2 linked regions of the Sus scrofa genome follow. The protein of the gene in region 1 interacts with the protein of each later gene in a pairwise test. Links are inferred from orthologs where the notes say so. Each region holds a gene or a part of one and is shown on either strand. Other genes may lie near its edges.

Region 1 (7,280 bases):
TTTCCTGTTAAAGAGAGTCGTCCGAGCGCAAGGAGTCCTTCCACTGGGCGTGTCTTGTTGGGAGAAGGGACCTTGGGGTCCTTGGCTGTTGGGGACATGGGTGGCCCCGCCTGGGGATCGGTGACCCCTGGGGCCAGCGTGAAGCCAGTGTGGGTTTCTGGGGCCGGGGTCCAGGCCCTGTAGGGGCAGAGGCCACGCCCTCACTGGCTGCCTCCCCGTGTCTCCCCAGGAGTCATCTGACAGCACCCACACCACCATAGAGGATGAAGACACAAAAGGTACCTGAGCTCCCTGCCTGCGGCGGCCGGCGGGGTGGCCACTGGGGGGCGGGGAGCCGGCAGAGAATCAGGCCGCAGCTGGCACCGCGGGTGTGTCCCGCGGGGCTGGCCCTGCTCAGGGCCACAGGCCCCCCCGGAGCCTGGGTGACCGGCGCCAGGCAGTCTTGGGCATAGCGTCCAAGCAGAGCTGGATGGGACCTGGGCATGGTGACTGGTGAGGACACTGCACCGGACCTGCCATTGCTCCGGGGGCCGTGCTCCCGGTTCTCGTGGCGGATGGGTTCCTGGGTGAATATGCAGCTTCTTCTCTCAAAGGTCCTTAAACCTGTCCCTGCCTGGCTGGTGGTTGATCAGTGGCTGGGCAGCCAGGGGCGTTTCTGAGCTCGCTGGGGGAGGGGTTGCTGAGACGCATGCTTCAACCCACGCGCAGAGCTCCCGGGCGAGCTGGGCCAGGGCTCAGGCTGTGCCCGACAAGAGCCCTAGGGTGCCAGACACTGAGTGCTCACCCAGGCCCACCTCTTCTGCTCTGGGCTCACCCAGCCACCCCAGGGAGGGGCTCTGGTGCCCATTCCACCCAGGCCGCCCGCTCCCACGCCAGGGGGCTGCGTGACCCTCTCGGCCACACACCTAGGTAGGTGAGGGCTGAGCACCCTCAGGACTGCCTCTGGGCCCGAGGGCGGCCACTCTGCCCGTTTGGGGGATGCGGTGACCTTGCACTGAGCACCCCACCCCCCACTCCAGAGTGGAAGTGAGCACAAGGCTTTGGCCTCTGGATGCAGGGAGAGTGGACGTTCGCGTAGTTTCCCCAGACCACAGGCCCCTGGCCATCGCTGGAGCTCACCTGGACCTCCTCAGGCTCTGCCCTGGCGGTGCTGCCACTGCCCCCAGCGGGAAACAGCCAAACCTGCAGGAACGTAGGGGAGAGGGCCAGCCCGGCCAGCCTCGTCCCAACCCTTCGTCTGGCGGGGAAAGGCTGGCCAGATGCCCCAAGGGCCTCATGAGGCAGCGCAGGCACCCGCGTCCTGAGGGGCAGGGCCCTGGGGGTCTCTCACCTCAGCTGTGTCACCTGTCAGATGCAGAGACGCCCCAGTGGGTCCAGGTCTGGGCTGGACACAGCCCACTCCCCTCCCCTGGAGGCCCGAGTCCAGCCCCGCACAGTCGTGCGTCTGCCTCACACACCTGCTGGGACAGCTCAGCCCTGGGCTCCCCGGCTGACGGCTCCCCAGGACCCACCGCGTGGGTCTCCTCCTTAACCCCCTCGTCCTGCTCCTGCACGGCCCCCTTCTCTCCTGCGTGTCTTCACCTGCCTCGTGTTCACGTCTCGTCTCACCCAGCCCCCAGGGTCCCCGACATCCTGAGCTCCGTGAGGAGGGGCTCGGGGACCCCAGACGTCGAGGGCCCCCCGCCCTGCCTGTCTCCGGCTCCCATTAGCCCCCTACCCACCCCATGTAAGTAGCCGGGCCCCTGTTGTAGCTGTGGGGGTCTCCTAGAAGGGCCTGTGGCCCCTCTCAGAGGGGACCCTCGAGAGCCAAGGGCCAGCTGGGCTTGGGCGCCCACACAGCCCCCACAGCCCCCACACTGAGGCTCCCCAGGCCTCTGCCCCTCAAGCCCGCCTCTGTGTGGGGATCCCCCCTGGCCTGTGGGGCCGCCGGGTCTCAGGACCAGGCTCCTTAGTGCTGAGCCAGGCCCCGGGGGCGGGAGAGAGCGGGAGGCCCTGCTCCCTCTCCTCCAGCCTCTCCCTGCCGCGTCCTCACGCGTCTGCCTCCTGTCCACCCCAGCCCCCCGGATCTCTGACCTCCTGAGCTCCGTGAGGAGGGGCTCGGGGACCCCGGAAGCCGAGGGCCCCCTGCCCACCCCATGTAAGTAGTGTCCCAGGCCTGCTGCCTCTGCTGCCGAGTGGCTCCCTGCCTCCTGCCATGCACGGCCTCAGCTGCCCCCGGGCCAGGCTGCCAGGCGCTAACTGTCCCAGCCTGGCTGGGCATTGGGGCGGGCACACGCGCTAACTCTGCCAGGCGCCCCCCCCACGGCTCCTCCCCCTCCCCCTGCACTGCTGTCTGGCCCCAAGCTTCTCCCCCAGAGGGTCTCCCTGACCCGGGGCAGCTGGCTGGGCCCCTCTGAGGCCGTGTGCTGTGACCCCACTTGGTGTGGGCCCCACACCTGGTGCCCAGCCAGGACCCCAGGGACCCCAGGCACCAGGAGCTATTCCAGAAATCCCTCCCAACCCCAGGACTGTGGGTTTAAAGGGAGGAGAAAGGGCCTGGCCTTCCTGCAGAAATGAGTCTCAGAGGGCCCAATGGAGCACTGCCCCAGGCGAGCTCCTCTGGCCTCTCCTGGGCCAGGCTGCCCTTCCTAGGAGGGCACCCTCTGCCACAGCAGCTTCCCGTACCCTCACCTGGTCAGACAGGTGCCTCTGCCTGAACGTCCCTGGAGCCTCCCCCCGGTCTTCCCCGCCCTTCTGTCGGCCCTGTCCCCCCATTCCACTGCACCTGTGTGTCCCTTCTCCATCCCCCTCTGTCTCCCGCCACCCCCATGCTCCCTCTTGACCCCCTCCGTCCCCCCACTCTCTCTGGCTTGGCTCATCAGCCCGTAGGTTTTCTCTCCTGCGTGTCCCCCGCCTGCCTCGTGTTCACGTCTCGTCTGTTCCGCCCCAGCCCCCAGGATCTCTAACATCCTGAACACGGTGAGGAGGGGTTCGGGGACCCCAGAAGCCCAGGGCCCCCCACCCTGCCCGTCTCCGGCTCTCCCAGGCCCCCCACCCACCCCGAGTAAGTAGCACCTTGAGTGGCCCTGCTGGCTGCCCCGGGGGGCTCACCGGGGTGTCAAGACCCCCAGCTGCCGTGTGCTGCCCCTTGGCCCCGGGAAGGGGCCAGCCTGTGTGTGTGTGGGGGGGGCGGGGGGACAAGGGGCGCAGGTGTGGGAAGAACCAGGAAGCAGGTTCCCGAGGACCAGGGCGTCACACTCCTGCTGCCTGCGGGGTCTTCTGTAGCGATGATGGGGCAAGTACCAGCTGGGGTGGCATCTGAGTGTGGAGGGGCAGTTCTCTGGGGGGCAAGGAAGAGAAAGGCCTTCTCGGGGCCCAGGGGCCGGCCGGGGCTGCGGGGCTGGCGCTGAGCTGGGCCGCCTCCCCAGGTGGGGAGGAGCCGCCGGGCGCTGCAGCCGGTCTGCCGACTGCCTGCCGGTATCACTTACAGGGATGGATGACACCCCAGGGCGGCCGCCACCCCCGCCTCCGGGGAGACACGGCGCTCTCAGAGGAGAGGCTGCGGGGCCGGGGGCCGGGCATGGCGGGGGAGAGGCTGGGTGAGTCTGGGCCAGGCCTGGGGGCCAGGCAGAGCGGAAGGGGAGGGAGACCTGGCAGCAGTGGGGTCGGGGTCGGGGTCGGGGTCTGCAGCCAGCATCTGCAGCCAGCATCCAGGCGTGGCTAAGGGGAGCGGAGCCTGGGGGAGTGGTCAGAGCCCCCTCCCCATTTGGCAGCGTCTTACCAGAGATGTCTCCTGGACGGACCGTCACAGCCCCCAGTTTCACAGATGAGAAAGCTGAGCTTAGGAGTTGGGGAGGGTGGTGCCCGAGGGGGCCGCCTGCAACGGGACCCCGGCCCAGGGCTGTGACCTGCCCCTGGGGTACACACAGCCCAGGCGGGGAGCTCTGAGAACCGGGCTTGCCCGGTTGGGTGGGGGGCCCGCTGCACAGGAAGCAGGTTCCCGAGGACCAGGGTGTCACACTCACAGGTTCGCCCCTTTAGGGGTCTGTCCTGAGCTTGACTCGGGAAGGTGGGGGCCACAGAAGGCGCTGTGACAGGATTGAAAGAGGGGCCTAGGGGCCTGGATGTGGCAGCGTGCAGGGGCGGGGGCTGAGAGCAGACTCAGAGTGGGGGGGGCAGCGAGGGAAGGGGGTGGCCCCCATCCGTGTCTCTCAGGGAGTGGGGTCCTTGTGCTAGATGTGCGCCCCCAGCCCAGAGTTCCCAGCATCCCCAGCCCTTGAGTGTGTGTGTGTGTGTGTGTGTGTGTGTGTTGGAGGGGCCTCAGGGGAGGGGGTGTGGGTGGGGCCAGCCCATTTGGGGGTGAGCTCTGGCTGAGAGTGTGAGTGCCAGAGCCGGGGTGCCCCTCTCCACCTCCAGGACCCGGGTCCACCTCTCCCAGCACTGAGACCCAGACCGCAGAGGGAGGGCCGTCGCTGGGGTGGGTCACGGGCAGCCCCCTTTTTGGTGAATGTCCCTGCCAGCTGTCGCCATGTCTAAATGGGCCTGTGTTCTCTATAATCGGATTATGCACAATCCAGGCTGATCCTGTGCAAGTGCCTCTGGGGTGGTTGGGGGCATCCCTGTGCCCCTGTAGCTGCCAAGGGACAGGCCTTGAGGTCACCCAGGGGTCACTGGGGCTCCCCCACACCCCAAACCCTTTGCCCGCGGCTGGGCCTCCCTGGCCTGTTAGCTTGCCCCGAGAGAGCGGCTGTGGGGGCTCCTCCCAAGCCAGAACCGTACCTGTGAACCTTGGCTCTGTTCCTGGAGTTGCCTGGTGGCAGCAGCTTGTCCTCATGCTAACAGGCCTCACCCCCCCTGGGGCCTCCCTTGGCGTAGCTTTGCTGTGGGGGGCGGGGTGGGGTTCGGCCTGACCCATAGCTGCTCCAGGGATCAGGAGCGCCCGGCCCAGTCCTGGGCTGTGACTAGGCCTGTATGGCCTCCACTTTCCCATCTGCAGAATGGACGTGGTGGCTCTTTCCCAGACTTCAGACTCTGCCTGTGTGCTGTGACCGGGATGTCTCTGGTGTGCTTAATCCTTCCTCTGTACGCTGTCTCCATCTTCAATTACACTTTGTTTAAAAACGCTCAATATGACTTTATTAAGTGGAAGGTGTGGGTCACTTACCACGGTAGGGTTAACTGTGAAATCAGAGTGGGCTGAAAACAAAACAGAAAAAATGTCACTCCGTTCCAGCTGCAAGGCTGTCTGCCGAGGACTTGCGTAGGCTGGGGACAGGTCCCCACGTCTGTGAAGAAGGGGGATTGACGGGTGTCAGGGTGGGTAGATGACCTCCGGGTGACATCAGCAGGATGGCCCGGAGCTGAGGAGTAAACCCCAGGTAGAAGGTGGGGGCCCTGAGCAGAAGCTGGACCTGGTGCCACAGGAGGTAGGTGGCAAGGGCCCACGGGTGACAGGCCGCCTGGACAGGGATGGGAGTGGCAGGGGCTGGAGGCTGCCTTGGAATGAGCCCAAGGGACCTGATTCTCTGGACAGCATTTGGTGGGGGAGCTGGGCTGCAGTGGGAGGAGATGGAAGTCACCTCCGCGAAGGTGACAGGTGCAGAGAGGATGGGGGTGGGTGAGGTCCCGGAGGAGAGGGGGCCATTCAAAACTGGGAAGCGTGCGGGCAGAGGGTGGCGAGGTGGGCAGGCTGCAGAGGAAGCCGAGGGGGAAGAACTCAGTCCAGGGGCAGGTGTGGAGGCGGAGCTGTGAAGTAGAGAGTGAGAACAGCCAGCCTGTGTGTGTCCGTGTGTCTGGACAGAGCTCTGTCCCTGCATGAAGCTCTGCAGGTGGACATGAGGCATCTGGGAACCTGGGCCTGCAGCTTCCCCTCCTGGAAGCCAGCTTCCAGGGGCCACCCGCATAGGTGGGGCCTGGGTGCTGCAGAGATGGCCCTAAGCCCAAACCCCGATGTGGTCCAGGTGTGAGGTTCAGTGAGAAATGGGAAAAGGATGCCAGCAGAAGCACAGCCGGGTCCAGAGAGAGGGTCTCTTCAAGATAGGGGAAGCCTATGTGAGTTTGCGGGGTGGGTATGCACACGCGTGCGCGCGCACACACACACACACACACACTCTCAGCCCCTCAGGCATCATGGAGCTCAATCCCCAGTCACTGTCCAGAGCCAGTGCAGCACAACCCAGGCTCCCAGCTCACACACAGGCACGCCTGGGCTTGCACACAGCACGCAGTGTCTTCTGCCGTGGACTCTGTCTGCCCCACGAGGTGGGCGCCTGGGCAAGTGATGGGAACCTGCGGCCCCACCACGGGCCCTGGGCACATGCTTCCAAATGCTATATGCACGCATTTGGAGCTGGCCCCTGCGCTCTGGGACTTTAGCCCCAGATCAATTCCCACACGTGCTGTTCCCAGCTGGCAGCTGGCACTGGAGACCTGCAGTCACCCATCACTGGGCTTGGCTGTGTGAGGATGCCCATCGCCCAGGAGTGGCCGTGCAGAAAGCCTGTGGTCCCAGTGTGCTGCTGGCAGCGAGGGACACGGGTGTGGGGGCTGAGGGTGCACAGACGCATGCAGCCGTGGAGCCGTGACCGGGAGGGAAGTGTGAGCAGAGAGCTCCTGAGATCATGCTCTCAGGGCCCTCCTTGGGTCTGAGGTTTACCTCCGGCAGGTTCCTGCTTTACGGCGTCAGCCAGCGTGGGTGTGTCTGTGTCTGTGCGGGTGTGGATGTATCTGCGTGGAAGTGGTTGCGCACCTGACTCGGGGCGGAACTCTGGGGAGAGCGGGTGACGAGCAGGATTGAGGGGAGCACAGGCCTCTGCATCTGTATCTGGAAGGTTTCATTTCTTCAAAAGAAATCTAGGCGTTCCCATCGTGGCGCAGTGGAAATGAATCTCCCTAGGAGCCATGAGGTTGTGGGTTTGATCCCTGGCCTTGCTCAGTGGGCGAAGGATCCAGCATTGCCGTGACCTGTGGTGCAGGTCGCAGACATGGCTTGGATCCCACGTTGCTGTGGCTGTGGCGTAGGCCGGCAGCTGAGGCTCTGATTAGACCCCTAGCCTGGGAACCTCCATGTGCCACGGGCGTGGCCCTAAAAAGAAAAAAAAAAAAATCTAAAGCAAATAGGAAAATTGTTCAGATTTGAATCAGTAGGGCGTGGGTTGTAGTATTCTGCTTTTTCCATGTGTTTAAAATGCTGTGCATGAAAATAAATTGCAGTGAAAGAGACCAAAGGGGGCCCTGGGTGAGCACAGGGCCTGTCTAGGCCCCAAGGTCAAGTGGGCAGGACCCCAGAGAGACTGTGGGCC
Region 2 (7,280 bases), on another chromosome or scaffold:
TCTGGCGTTGCTGTGGCTGTGGTGTAGGCCGGTGGCTATAGCTCTGATTCGATCCCTAACCTGGGAACTTCCATATGCTGCGGATGTGGCCCTAAAAAGAAGAAGAAGAAAAAAGCGGGCAGAGGAACTGGGTGGGTTTTTCCAAAGCAGACATACAGATGGCCAACAGCACATGAAAAGATGCTCAGCATCACCCATCATCAGGCAAATGCAAATTACAGCACAATGAGACAGTGCCTCACACCTGCCAGCATGGCTATTATCAAAAAGAAGAAACAGTTCCCGTTGTGGCGCAGTGGTTAACGAATCTGACTAGGATGAGGTGGTGGGTTCAATCCCTGGCCTTGCTCAGTGGGTTAAGGATCCGGCGTTGCCGTGAGCTGTGGTGTAGGTCGCAGACGCAGCTCGGATCCCGAGTCGCTGTGGCTGTGGTGTAGGCCAGCGGCTACAGCTCCTATTAGACCCCTAGCCTGGGAACCTCCATATGCCACAGAAGCGGCCCTAGAAATGGAAAAAAGACAAAAAAAAAAAAAAAGAAACAAGTATTGACAAGGATGTGGGGAGAAGGAACCCCTCGTATGCTGCGGATGGCAATGTATAGCGATGCAGCTACTGTGGAAGAGAGCATGGAGGTTCCCCAACCAAATTAAGAGTAGAACTACCCTATGAGCCAGCTGCTCCACTTCTGTGTGTTTAAAGAAAATAAGAACACTGATTTGAAGTGACATCTGCACCCTTACATTCACGGCAGCACTATTTACAATAGCCCAGACATGGAGTCACCCAAGTGTCCACTGATGGATGAATGGATAGAGAAGAGGTGGTATGTAGACACACGTTGGAATATTATTCAGCCATAAGCAAGATGAAATCTTGCCATTTGTGACAAAATGGGTATTATACTAAGTGAAATAAGTCAGACGGAGAAAAACAAATGGCTTATGATTTTAAATGAGTTCCCTAGTGGTGCAGTGGGTTAAAGATCCGGCATTGTCACTGCTGTGGCTGGGTTTGATTTCCTGGCCCGAGAATTTCCACTTGCCGCAGGCACAACCAAAATAAAATAGGGAATTCCCTTCATGGCTCAGCAGAAATGAATCTGACTGGGATCCATAAGGACGCAGGTTCCATCCCTGGCCTCCCTCAAGGAGTTAAGGATCTGGCGTTGCCATAAGCTGTGGTGTAGGTCGCAGACACGGCTTGGATCTGGTGTTGCTGTGGCTGTGGTGTAGGCTGGCAGCTGCAGCTCCGATTCAACCCCTAGCCTGGGAACCTCCATAGACTGTGGGTGTGTCCCTAAAAAGACAAAAATAATAATAAAATGAAATAAAAGAACAAGCCAAACAAAAACGTCGATACAGGGAACAGAGCAGCGGTCACCAGGGGGGAAGGGGGGTGGGGCACAGAGGCAGACTGGGTAAAGGGGCCGACTGTGTGGTGACCAGTGAAAACTGGTTTTGGTGGTGAGCGTGCAGCAGGGCACACAGAGGTAGAAATAACACATGACACTTTTAACACAGAGTTAGACACCAGCGTTGCCTCGATAAAAACTACACTTAAATAAAAAAGCTGACTTTTGGAATTCCCGTTGTGACTCAGTGGTAACGAACCCAACTAGGATCCGTGAGGACGTGGGTTCTATCCCTGGCCTTGTTCAGTGGGTTAAGGATCCGGCGTTGCCGTGAGCTGAGGTGTGGGTCTCAGATGTGACTCGGATCTGGCATTGCTATGGCTGTGGTGTAGGCCGGCAGCTACAGCTCTGATTCCACCCCTAGCCTGGGAATTCCATATGCTGTGGGTGTGGCCCTAAAAGGAAAAAGAAAGAAAAAGCTGATTTTCAGTGCTGGCGCGGGGAGGTGCTGGGCCCGCAAGCACTCTGCCCTATTGAGAAGCACTTTGGGAAGTGAGGTGGTTGTCCCTTCCACCCAAGAACCAATCGTGATTCTGTAAAGACTGTGAATGAAAGGGGGCTCGTCCAGTTCTTTAAATGGGAAACAGTTGGGGTTGGCCCCAGTCTAACAGGAGACTGTTCTATCCGGCTGTTAAACGGGTTTGCGATGGAGTGCAGTGAAATGGCCGTCGGAGAAAGTGTCAAGAGGAAGTTTCCAGTGTGGCTCTGTGGTAATGAACCCAATTATAGTAGCCATGAGGATGCGGGCGCCATCCCGGGGCTCGCTCAGTGGGTTAAAGGACCTAGCGTTGCTGTGAGTTGTGGCGTAGGCCAGCAGCTGTGGCTCTGAGGTGGCCCCTAGCCAGAATACTTCCATATGCTGCAGGTGGAGCCCTAAAAAGCAAAAAAAAAAAAAAGTGGAGGAAGTTCATTCTTCCTCGCGTTCATGCAGAATGAGCTCCTGAGTGGGTTTGGCTGGACCTGGTGTGCACCTGTGCTGACTGGCTGTGTCTTGCAGTAACCGGGAGTCCTGGGTGGCCCAGGGTGTATACCTTTTTGTTGCTTTTTTTTTTTTTTTAATTTTGTTTTCTATTGGAGTATTGTTAATTTACAAGGTTGTGTCACTTTCAGGTGTAGCCCTATTGTTCCTTTTGAATTTTGAGTCATGAGGTAATTTGGGTTGCTGTTATAAGGATAAATAAAATGTAAATAAAGGGACTGTGATTGGTAAGGGCTTTGTCATAAGATGGGCAGGTTATTTATCTTCCCGTTGAGTAAAAATGGTTGTGAAAATGTATACTTAGGTTTTGCCCAACTGGTGTAAGACTCTATGTGACAATTACATGTATGACTATAAGTGACAACAATATAAGACTATGTAGGACTGTGAGTAAGGACCACAAACGACTAAAACAAGGAGCCAGGTAGGCAAACAGGTAAACCAGTGAAACCTCTCTTCTTAGGGCAAAAAGCCTGGAAAGAAAGATCCCCAAAGAGAAACCAAACCGTGTTTATCTCTGGATAGGAGAGGTGTTTTTCCTCCTTTGTGTGCTCTTCCGTGGTTTTCCGGAGCGAGTGTGTGCACGTTTCCACTTTTCATGAGCAAGTCACACGTCTCGTGTAGGAGAACAAAAGAGCCGCTTGGAACCCTGCCAGCCAGAGCATCCCCTGTGTGGCCCTTGGGCTCCGCCCCTGGGCTCTGCGTTTAGGAACCTGTGATGGCCATGACGTGTGGGCATAAAAAGCTGTTACTCCAGGAGTTCCCGTCGTGGCGCAGTGGTTAACGAATCTGACTAGGAACCAAGAGGTTGCAGGTTCGATCCCTGCCCTTGCTCAGTGGGTTAAGGATCCGGCGTTGCCGTGAGCCGTGGTGTAGGTCGCAGATGCAGCTCGGATACCGTGCTGCTGTGGCTGTGGTGTAGGCCGGCAGCTGCAGCTCTGATTGGACCCCTCGCTGTGGGAGCGGCCCTAGAAATGGCCAAAAAAAGACAGGAAAAAAAAAAAAAGCTGTTACTCCAACAGTGGATACGAAACCTGGGGGGAGCGTGTCCGGGGGGGGTGGGGGGAGCGGCTCACGGTTGGCTGACCCGCCTCTGGTCTTTCCAGGAGCGCTGCGTGGCCGCCCTGGCCCGGGTCGAGCGCACCGACTTCCTGTCGCCCATGTGCATCGGCGAGGTGGCGCACGTCAGCGCGGAGATCACCTACACGTCCAAGCACTCCGTGGAGGTCCAGGTCCACGTCATGTCCGAGAACATCCTCACAGGTAACCCGCACGCCGGCCGCGGGCGGGGCCGGGAGCAGTGGCGACAGCGGCATGGACGCAGCCGTGACAGCTCGCTGACAGCTCCTGCGTGGCCAGGGATGACCTCCCTGAGTTCCCACCTCCACCTGGGAGCAGGAACCTCTGCTGTCCTGTTTTTAGGACGGGGAAACGGGAGCACAGACGAGTTAGGCAGCGAGCCCCCGCTCGCGTGCCCAGCGTGTGACCCACCCCCCCAACCCCCAGCAGGACTAGGGGGGAGAGCTGGGAGTGGCCTGGGAGGGCACATGCCATCCTGTGGCCCCCCTGCCTGCCCCCCTCCCCCACTTGCCCATCCCCGCTTGGGGACACTGCTGCCCCTTGGAGGACACTGGCCTGGCTGCTTTCTGCCCCCCTGGGCCCCGGGAGCCAGGCCTAGGCTGGCGCTTGCTGGGTGAACCTTTGACTCTGGTTTGATCTGAATCTTCTCTTCCTCCGGTGGTAACCATGGAAACCCCTTTTCATCCTCCCACTGGGCGCTGCAGGGGAGGGTGGCTCCGGTTCACACTCGCTGCTTTTTATAACCCAGCTGCTGATGGGGGAGGCAGGCCTCTTGGTCCCCTCATTGCCTACCTCCTTGTCGCAGGCCACCCGGAGGAGAGTCGGGGCCCGTTCTGGAGGGAGAAGCTGCCTGGGTTCTTGCACCTTCTTCTCCGGCCCCTCCTGGGCCGTGTCTGCCTGCAGAGTGCTGTGCACGGGGATCTTTAGGGGGCCCCAGGCTTGTCCCCCCACAAGGAAGAAGCTCAATTATTCATCTGGAACATTCCAGTGATGACAGCACCCCTGCCAGTGCTCGGGGAACTATTTTGCTGAGCCAGGCCCTGGCGTGGGGAGCGGTCAACGGGCTCGTGGCCCGTGTTCTGCGTTGGTGGCCCAAGCCCTGTGTTCAGAGGGCAGCTGTGGCATCAGAGGGACCTTGGATGCCGGTCTTAGGCAGTGCCACAGAAAGGGGTGCTCGGGCCCTGACTTCCCACTGTGGCGCTGGCCCCAGCGGTGTGCCCCGGGGGTGACCAACCCTTTCTCCTGGGCTGTGCTGGGGGTTTAGCCTCCCTATGCCTGTCATGAGAGGGGAACGGCTATGCTCGCTGCTTTTCTTGAACTTTAGGCTTATTTGTTGATAGCGTCTTCAACAGCATTGTTTTTGGTGGGTTGTTTTTTTTGTGGCCACACCACTGGCTTTTGGAAGTTCCGGGATCAGGGATCACACCTGAGCCATAGCAGTGACAGCACTGTATCCTTAACCTTTAGGCCAGCAGGGAACTCCAAGCAGGATTGTTTTTGTATTGTCCAGGGTCAGAGAGCCATTGACTTCAAAAGTGGGGGAGGGGCCTGCTTTACAGATTCCCATCCCCCAAGCCCCCTTTCTGGCTCATCAGGCCACAGCCCGGGAGGAACCCCCATGAACAGAACAGCGTCATGCTGTGTGCAAGTGGGAACGAGAGCCGAGGGGACAGGGACCAGAGCTACTGCAGTGGGGCAGGGGTCCCCAGGGTCGTGGCTCCTTCCACCAGAGGTGTTTGCAAGGGGAGATCTTTGGTTGTCACAGTCGGGGTGGAGGCCTGGGACACTGCTGCACACCCTACAGTGCTTGGGGGCCCCACAGCCTGATGGGCCCCCGCCGTCTGAGTAGTGAGGCTGCGGAGGCCGGCCCTGGACCCTGGCTCCTGGCTCCTGAGGGAAAGGTCACATCTCCCTCTTCCCCGCAGCTGCCGTCGGCTCACGACAGAGGCGGAATCAATAATTGATGAGTGAGTGAATGAAGGGGGAGGTGAGTCAGGAAGATCTGGGTCTCTGCACTGGGAGGGCAGCTCACAGAGGGCTTTGTTAGAAGGACTTCCTGCGGGATTCTGGCTGCCATGGGGCAGAGCTGGGCGGGAGGGGGCAGAAGAGGGCGAGGGGGACAGGGGTGGGCAGGAGAAGGTTGGGGGGCAGGAGAGGGTGGGGGGCAGGAGAGGGTGGGGACAGAGGGGACAGGAGAGGGTAGAGAGCAGGAGGGGTGGGAGGGTCAGGAGGGGACAGGAGGGGTCAGGAGAGGGTTGGGGGGCAGCGCTGGCCCAGAACTATGCTCCACCAAGGTCAGGATGCTCTCCACCCACCCTGCCCTGTGTCCCCGGCCCCCCTGGCCCTGAAGGGCCAGGGGTTCAGAGAGCCTGGGCTACCCGGAGGAGAGAAGTGGCCATGAGGGGTAGAGCCGCAGGCATCCACCCTCGCGGGACAGCGGGTGGGCATTGCGCACCTGAGGACAGAGGCTCTGAGAAGGCAGGGACGGGCCTAGCCTTTTGAGATGGGACGCCTGGGGTCGAGGGAGAACGCCAAGGCCGGGTCTCGGGGTGGGGACAGAGCCTTGGAGCTGGGGCTGTGGCTCTTCTACAGTCTGGGCCGTCCTGCCCCTTGGCCGGGCACCCCTGCTGTTCTCATGTCCGGGCGGCCTGCCTGGGTCTCAGCCTCGTGTCTGTGCATCTCGTGTCTTCCGTGTTTGGGTCCGTGTGCGTCTCTCTTGTTCTGGGCCCGCATGTGTGGCAGCCTTCCGGTCTTGTTGGGTCTCTGCCATGTGCACTGGGATGTGAGCCCTGTGAGGGTAGGGCCTGTGGCCGCCTCATCCAGATTGTCCCCGACTCGTCCCCCGCGGGCACTCGGTGAGCACGGGCTGGCGGACACACCGGGACCAAGCAGAGCCTCGTGTGCCTCCCTGTGTCCCGCGACCCGAAGAGGCCAGGTGCCGTCCCCCCGGCTCTGGGCGCCTGTCGGGAGGCGGCGGGGCGAGCGCGCGCCCAGGCAGACAACCAGCAAAGCTTCCTCATCCATCAGCGGCAACTGTCAAAATATTAAGCTAACTGGGACATGATTGCTGCGAATCACTCCAGAAAATAGCTGGGAGCGCTTCAGATTTTAGAATAGATGTTTTTAGTGCCGCCGTTGTCTTTTGATGGTTTTATTAAATGATAAAGTACAATTAGCGTGTTTTGCCTCGTTTGTGCATTTAGGTCTGGAGGCGGGCCACTCGGGGTTTCCATGGAAACCAGCTCTGCTGGGCCGGCGCTCGCGGAGTCAAACAGGAAATCTTTATTCCCCAAAGCAGGTTGTCAGATCCACTCTCAGTCAAAGTGCAGAGAAGATATTTTTCCATCTTATCGGCTCATGGTCCCAGGGGTGCCGAGAGCCCGGGCCGAGCGGTGCGCGTCCTGGTGTGAGGAGCGGGCCTGGGCACCAGGGGCCTCACTGCCTTCTGATTGACCCGCCGGGGCTTGGCTTGGGCCTTGGGGCTACGTTTATGGGGGGACCGAAGCCCCAGCTGTGCCTTGGGAAGGCAGGTCAGAGGGAGCCCCTAGGAAGTGAGTTACCGGGGGACTTTGGGGTGAGTGCCGGGCCTGCTCCCCGCTTCTCTGCTTCCTGTCTTCCCAGTTCTGCCCTTCTCTACATCGAGAATCCTCCCTGCGGAAGAGGCAGCTTTTAAAGGGCATCCTGGCTTGAGTTCCCTGCTGGCTCAGGGCTTAAGGATCCGGCCTTGTCACTGCTGTGGCGTGGGTTCAATCCCTGGCCCAGGAACTTCCGCCTGCCATGAGTGCGGCCAGTAAAATAAAATAAGAGGAA

What was found.
Region 2: the proteins of CAMK2B (region 1) and ACOT7 interact in binary tests that used the Homo sapiens proteins (3 or more experiments, as listed by UniProt). The two-hybrid records come from large-scale screens. The link is inferred for Sus scrofa from reciprocal best matches to the Homo sapiens genes CAMK2B and ACOT7.

The regions. Positions count from the first base shown.
Region 1 is NC_010460.4:50,947,114-50,954,393, forward strand, and holds part of CAMK2B (calcium/calmodulin-dependent protein kinase type II subunit beta), read left to right. Parts: intron 1-229; coding exon 230-278; intron 279-1,612; coding exon 1,613-1,726; intron 1,727-2,056; coding exon 2,057-2,137; intron 2,138-2,929; coding exon 2,930-3,043; intron 3,044-7,280. UniProt on the Homo sapiens protein: Calcium/calmodulin-dependent protein kinase that functions autonomously after Ca(2+)/calmodulin-binding and autophosphorylation, and is involved in dendritic spine and synapse formation, neuronal plasticity and regulation of sarcoplasmic reticulum Ca(2+) transport in skeletal muscle.
Region 2 is NC_010448.4:67,211,374-67,218,653, reverse strand, and holds part of ACOT7 (cytosolic acyl coenzyme A thioester hydrolase), read left to right. Parts: intron 1-3,496; coding exon 3,497-3,653; intron 3,654-7,280. UniProt on the Homo sapiens protein: Catalyzes the hydrolysis of acyl-CoAs into free fatty acids and coenzyme A (CoASH), regulating their respective intracellular levels.